Linked DNA regions of Arabidopsis thaliana. The protein of the gene in region 2 interacts with the protein of the main gene of each other region in a pairwise test. Each region holds a gene or a part of one and is shown on either strand. Other genes may lie near its edges.

Region 1 (3,185 bases), on a different chromosome or scaffold from region 2:
ATTTTTGTTTGGTTTGCTTTGTACTTTTTGGTCATTTATAGGTTTGTGCTAAGGCTCTGTTTCTCTATGTTTTTGTTTCTACGTTGAACTAAGATGACCCCAAAATCTCATGTCTTCTTGGTAACGAGGAAAATATCATACATGTACATGTCAGAAGAAACTATACACTCTCTTTTAGTCGCTTATATCCAATCAATCTACACCTCAAATATAAAAGCATATTTGCATATCATGACATCATGTTCTCTATGGAGTAAGAATCAAACTAATCTCATATGAAAACTATACACTCACTTCTCATTAGAAAGAACTACTCTTTTTGTCTCTTATACCCCAAACATGCATTATATTCAAAGCATCCTATACTAAAGCAGAGACAGTCTTCTAATGTACTTAGCTATCTCTAGCAGATTTTGACCCTGATGGATCAGTGGGTCTCTTGAAAACGTCTGCAAACCCCATGACTAAATCTTCATGACCCTCAAGAAGTGCAACGACCCGCAAAGACAACAAAGCAAATCAAACCAAAGAACTAAGAGAAAGTGTAATCCAACCAAAGTGTCCCAACCAAGAACCCTACCTCCTGGTACAAGTCATTCACGGACTTGTTTCCTTCTTGGTACATTGTCAATATCTCGAGAAACGACTCATATACATGACGATCATCCCCCTGGAACCTTTCCTGTACATCGACGGATCTGTTAGCATAGATGGAACATCAAAATGGTAAATGGTAAGGATTAGTTTTAGTATTTTAGCACTCTATACCTTAAGCTTGCCGATAAAACTCGCTACACGTTTTCTTTTGTTAATATCAGATGCAGCCCGTTGCTCAATCTTGAGATGGAGGATTCTCTGAGCCTCAGGTGGAAGGAAGGCATTCAAACGGACAAGCAGATTCTTGTGAGCTTTCAAGAGTTCCTCCACCCTTGTAATGCCACCAGCAACATCAATTAATCTACAAAGAGAATAGTATATAACAAACAGAATCACTTCACAATGTTGTATAGATTGAGACTTGAAATTAAGGGCAAACAGAATTGAAGAGGGACACAACAATACATACCTATACCTGATATCATAAAAGAGCTGGAAAAACTCGTAATACTTTGCAGGTTCATCATGAAATGCTTCCTTGACAGTGTTGATGTATGAAACCGCATCATCAATAGTAGAATCCGGTGATACGCTTGTTGCAGCAATGGTTTGAAGTTGGGCTAACCCTTCGCTAGCCTCAGCTGGAAAGAAGTCAAAGAAACGAACAAGCAGGTTCAAGTGATCTCTCATGAGTTCCCCCATACATGCAGTGATTCTAGCTCTATCGTCTCTACACAAGAGAATAAGAAACATGAGAATCAATTTCACATCTGTATTTGTTTAAGAACAAACCAGACATAACCGGGGGAAATCAAGACATACCTATGATTAAAATAATCACGTATGAGGTGGAGAATATGATTAAATTTTTCAGGTTCATCATGATATACTTCCTCCATAGAACCGAGTTATGAGTATTCATCATCCTTAGTTAACTCTAATGGTACGCTTCTTCCATCCATGGTGTGACCTAAAACCATTGTTATAATCCAAACAGGTCAGATCACATCATTTGAATCCATCTACTATCTCAAAGCTATTTCTTTAAAGTTTTTCAAGAAACAGAGCCAAGTGCAATAAATATCGATCTACTTCCTCAAGAACCCTAGATTGAGGAACGATTTGAAAGCAGAGAACCAGAAAACTCGATCGTAACCCTAATCGTCTGGTGAATTGACATATCAACTGAACGAAACAAATGATAAATCGAAAGAGGAACCAAGTATGGCTACCGATATAAGCAGAGCAAAGCAGCAATGATGAACAAGAAGAAGCTTCGTCTTCGTCTTCGCAGAGTAAGGAGTTCAAGATTTCTAGAAGCAAAGTAAAAACCTCAAGACTGCATAGAGTTTTTGTTCACGAGTCTATATTTATACTAGGGAGTATATCAATTTCGTAATTCATATAAGGTTTACTTAAATTAGAAAATATATTTGTTATTAGAATTACTTGATTCTTATTTGGTTTGCTCTGTAGTTTTTGGCTCTGTTCCTCTCTGTTTTTGTTTCTACGTTGAACTCTGTTTTTGAGTGTTTCTCCTCTCAGTTTCTATTAAAAGATGACCCCAAAGATAACCAGAAAATATTAAGTGAAAAAAACATTTGATATCAAAGAAAGCTCTACAAATACACTTTCTTTTAGTCTCTTACACAGCAATTCATTGAACATAGAAGCATAGCATATTTGTGAATGTCATGTTAATCAAACCTAAACTCAAATGTTTTCGTCTCTTAAGGTATATAGTCTTCCAGTACTGTCCTTAGCTATCTCTAGACTCTATGGATCACTGAAAATTTCTGAAAGCTCCATGAGTAAATCTTCATGACCCTGAATAAGTGCACGGACCTGCAAAAGGTAACAAGCAAATCAAACCAAAGAACTAAGAAAGTGCAACACACAACACAAAGTGTCCCACAAAGAACCATACCTCCTGAGACGCCTCATCTTTGGACTTGTTTCCCTCACTGTGCATTCTCAATATCTGGAGAACTGAGTCAACTACTTGACTACCATCGCCCAGAAACCTTGCCTGCACATCCACAATTTTGTTACTTAAATCACAAGTTAACATATAAGAAACATCCAGTAACTATAAGCATTTAAGCACTCTATTACCTTAAGCTTCGTGATAAACCTCCTTGTAGGTGAAAGGAAGACACAGAAACCAAGAAGCAGATTCAAGTGATCTTTCAAGAGTTCCTCCATCCTTGCAATGACACTAGCGGCATTGATTCTACAAAGAGACTTAGTAATATCAGAATCAATTCACATGTGTGTTTGTTGTGTAAATTGAGAAAATCAAACATAACATGGAGAAAACAATTCATACCTACGAGCTTTAAGATCAGTCAAGAGCTTAGTAATTTCCATATATTTTGCAGGTTCATCATGAAATGCTTCCTTCACAGCATTGAGGTAAGAAGTCGCATCATCCATGGTAGGCACCGCCACCGCCGGTGGTACGCTTCTTCCAACCACCTTATTGATGTGAAACTCTGCGCTAGCCTCGGGAGGGATGGCTGTCTGCAACCTAAAAGGAAGTAAGACATTTGAACCATGACACAGATTCGCGTGATCTCTCAGGAGTT
Region 2 (4,434 bases):
AAAAAAAATTAGCAAATGGGTTTTCACTTTTCAGAAACGAACAAAAAGAACTATTCAACATAATAAAATATCGAATTATTTCATTACAAAGTTACTACAAACCTTTTTGTTCTTCTTTCAGTTTAGCAACTATATATGGCCATGAAATTATGGTACGATCATCATTTATTGCGCATGCATCAAGTTGTCAATCGTTTAAGCTTTACATTAATCTTAAATGGTAGCCTACAAGGGAGGCCTTAATTATATAATTGATCTGTAACACTCTGTTGGCCCAGTCCAACATTTTGATACTAACAAATTAAAGCCCAATTATTTCATCTTTTTCTTAAAAATAGTTACTACTATCCTTTTTTTTGGATCAAATAGTTATTATCTAATTACTAATTAGATCTTCTAACCAGGTGTTAGACATGACAATTTGACCGGTCTATTCATTTTGTATGCATAGAACATCTGAATGATTTGAGAAGCAAAATAATAACTCATATGACGATTATATATATAGAGTGTTCAGGTGATAAAAAATTCAACTCAACTTATCAAATACAAGACATCACATATCATAGTATCTACAAAATTTCCAAATTGCTAGGTAACATAATTACAACCTTATTCTCACTACTGATTTATTCATCCAAACCTGCCTAAACCCATTATTCATTATTTATTTTCAATACGAGTTAGATTATTTATTTTTTTGACAGAAGTCACAGAACTTGTTGGGGGCATGACAAAACTAAGTATACAAGTCATAACTCTATAGCAATACTATTTGTGTAACTATTATAAGATTCATGTTAAAACATGAGGTATATGTGGTGTTGCACTTGGAACTCAAATCCAAGATTGGATTGGGTAGTTGCACTTGAAGGAATTTGCTCCACTAATGTGTGCAAAAATGTCTGAAGAATCTACCAATTGTTCCTCATCCTTCACTCCCATCTGTAAACCCAATCGGCTTAGTTAGTTTTCACATAAATTCATATAAATCGAGTTAAAATAACCCGGTTTTCTTACATCGTCTTCATCTTCATCATCATGATGGCTTGAAAAAGCTTGTCTATTTGGCTCACCAAATTCATCATTCTTTGCAAATCTTCCTCTAACTCTTGGTCGACTATCTGCCAATGTTTTCCTACACGCATACTACAACCCCCCAAAAAAATCATTGGGACAACATTTAACAACGGTTAAGTCCGGTTTGGTTTAATAAAAACCGAACCTTGATTTTCTTGTTGAAATTCCTTTCGTTCCTCTTCTTCATGTACCTACGAATCTTCTCTTTCCTTTGCTCAGGGGAGAGTTTTCCAACTTTGTTCAACGTTGAGTCTTCTAAACCGTTTATATCGACCGGTCCTAATGCTGGATGAGCTTGAGGTGTCACCAAGTGGCTCTGGTTCTCGGCGCCACCACCAAGTGCCTTCTTCAACAAAATTAAACCGGTTAGCATCACATCAGAATACCAACCCGGTCTTGTGACCGGAAATCTTAGCTCCATACCGGTTCTTAAAGATAACCAAACGTTAACCGGAAAATATTTGTAACAAAAACTCAATTACCTGGAGATCTTCTGGATTAAACATACGTTTGATGGAATCCGGACAAAAAAAACCACCATTATCAGCTTGAAAGTCCATCAGTGGATCATGTGGCTTATTGATTTCTGATCCCACATGAATATTCCCGGGAAGATAACCGAGATTACTTTCAGCAGATAATAAACCGGTACTCATATACGCCGGTAAACCGGACGAACGGAAGAAAGAGCAAGAAGGGTTCAAACCAAGATTGTAACTTGGGACTGAAGAAAGACAATCTTCTTCGAAAACCCCTGATTGTAAGGGAGGAGGAGCTAGAGAGGAAATCGCCGATAGAGACAGAGGATCTCCAGAGTATGAAATGTTAGGAGGCTGATGAATAACTTGGAGACCTGATGAGAAATCAAACTGGTCTTGGCTTATTGCCGTGAGGAGATGATCGATGACTGGATATTGCAGTGAAGATGATGAGAAATCGATTGAAGCCGTTATATCGTTTTCGAAATCTTCTTGTGAATCAAAGATTATGGACAGATCCGTGTTGTTGTTGTCATCTTCATCGTCTTGAAGGTTTGTGTTCTTGTTGTTGTTGTTGTTGTTACTGTTCTCAGTTGTTGTGGTGGTGTTAGTGTTGGAATGGAAGCTTCCGGATTTCTCAAGAATGTTTGAAGTAGAGGTGACTTCAGAGGATTGATTAAAGGTTTCTTGAAAGAGTTGTGGATCGCAGAAATCGAAGATCTGAGCACTAAGAGGGCTCGTGATATCATCCTGTTAAGATAATAAAAACAATAGTTAGTTTCAAAGATTAGATCGAGCATGGAAAGTAAATGAACCAAGATCTTTTGAAGAGATTACGTTAAAGCCAAGCATCAAAAAAAGGTAACAAAGGTTTTGGCTTGAGTCACAAGAAATTAGAACTGGTGAAATCATAAGAAGCTACAAGATATTAGTTCTTAAATCTTAAGAGAAATTTATTTATACTTAAGTAATTTTGTTCTGGCTTAACTATGTTAAGAATCTGTAAGATGTTTTGATTCTGTTTTTCGACATCCAAACACTCCAAAGATTTTGGTGTCTTGATCAAATCCAATGTTTGTTTGTTATCAATATTTGTTGAGGACAACACAAGAGAGATTAAATGCATCTGTTCTTTTATGTGACATGTTAAGAAGAAGTGTTCCAATTACTTCCAATAGCTAAAAAGATAAAGTAAAGAAGAGTGGAGTTTCTATAAACGGAAAGTTTTCTGATTCTGGTATTTCCTTTTCGTATTGACAAAATAATTTAAAATTGCCTGGTATGAACCAACATCCAGATTTTTTTCCCACAAAGAAAAAGTAAAGGGCACTTCATAAAATATCAGAACATGTGTGAAACCCATTATGATCATGATCATATACAAACCCATCATGATAACAAACAATGCTCCTAGTGAAATTCACGTAATATGTAGATTTTGCATAAAATCCAAGGTGAGAGATTAAATCTAGCATTTTTCGTTTGATGAGAATAAAAATCTATACTAAAATACGATAGATATAGTGAATTATGGTTACAGTTATTTTGTAGAACAATATTGTTCCATATCATGTGACGATTTTCTATTGGTTTATAAGTAATAATCGTATGCCAATGAGAATTATGATAATGATTGTTCAAAAAAAAATCGCATGGAAGGACAAATTGAAGTGCGGAGAGAATAACAAAGAAAGAAAAGCGAAAAGAATGAAGCAATTTATAAGAAGATCAAATGGAATATAAGTAGAAGAAAATGACGTTACACCAAAAAAGAAAAACTAGCTGAAATTATAGGGTAGTTGCCGAATAAAAGACTACGGAATAAAAATTAATCAGTTTATAAGATTAGACTCGAGTTTATATGATCTATACATGTAAGCAAAATTTCAAAGACAAAAACATCTACGCATTGCATGAATAAAAATGAAAGCAATAATGAGAAGAGAATTACGATGGAAAGCTGATCGTGAGAGTGAGACGAGATCATGTCTTGCAACATGTTTGTGTTCTTTGTATATCTCCAATGTTAATGCGAAAACTTTCTGGGAAAATAAAGAAAATTCCCGAGAAAATATGAATTATAGCAAGAAAATTAATGAACGAGGCTTCAAGGATGATTTGTGGAATAATATTGGAATGAGTGATGTATGATGAACAAGAAAATCCATGGAAGAAATTCAAATATTGGGAGGAAAAAACAACAAAAACTGAAAAAACAAAGAGGTAATTGAATTAAAAACAGAACAAAGGTTCTTCTGTTTGGACAGAGAAGAAATTCAAATTCTTATAGTTTTCTGGAAAAAAAGAGGTTATGGGAGTTTCACGTAACAATCATACATATATATATATACTTTTGGTTTTATGTGTATGTATATATTTGTATATACTAAACTAATGCATGTGTGTTTCAGTGTATGTACAAATTATTTTCACATAATTTTTATAATATATTCCAGCGTGGACTTGATGCAAAAATGTGATACCCTCGATTCTCCTCTTCACATGACGTGGAAAGCCCACGTAGATATAATGGTGTTGACGTGGGTAAAGGATCTCACGTAGGAGGAAACTATTTAGACCGGTCAATGAGTTTGACCCAATTCTTGTTCCGTGGATTTTGACGTTTTTGACTGAAAATCGTCCTAAATTAAGCCCTATATTCGTGGAATTAGTTTCTATGTTTTTAATTTAGATATGCATTTTTCTATCTTTTATCTCGTTTGCTAATTTTATTGACTTGGCTCATGATTTCCCGCAAAGGAGAGAAAAAGATTTCGACCAGGTCAGTAAAGTATTAGAAAATAGAAGATATCTAAAGTAAAATGCTACTGGACAAAATGTCTTTGGACAATAAGCATATTATTTGCCTTAAGAA

What was found.
Region 1: the proteins of AT2G33350 (region 2) and AT1G27280 interact in a two-hybrid assay, tested with the Arabidopsis thaliana proteins (one large-scale study listed by BioGRID).

The regions. Positions count from the first base shown.
Region 1 is NC_003070.9:9,472,338-9,475,522, reverse strand, and holds AT1G27280 (Paired amphipathic helix (PAH2) superfamily protein), read right to left. Parts: upstream 1,497-3,185; coding exon 1,420-1,496; intron 1,328-1,419; coding exon 1,067-1,327; intron 959-1,066; coding exon 769-958; intron 683-768; coding exon 533-682; downstream 1-532. Other genes in the region: AT1G27270 (Paired amphipathic helix (PAH2) superfamily protein), read right to left, coding at 2,374-2,442, 2,525-2,626, 2,713-2,830, 2,927-3,185.
Region 2 is NC_003071.7:14,133,240-14,137,673, reverse strand, and holds AT2G33350 (CCT motif family protein), read right to left. Parts: upstream 2,533-4,434; 5' UTR 2,472-2,532; coding exon 2,397-2,471; intron 2,310-2,396; coding exon 1,563-2,309; intron 1,427-1,562; coding exon of another isoform or gene 1,424-1,426; coding exon 1,226-1,423; coding exon of another isoform or gene 1,184-1,225; exon of another isoform or gene 1,150-1,183; coding exon 1,021-1,149; intron 946-1,020; coding exon 838-945; 3' UTR 513-837; downstream 1-512.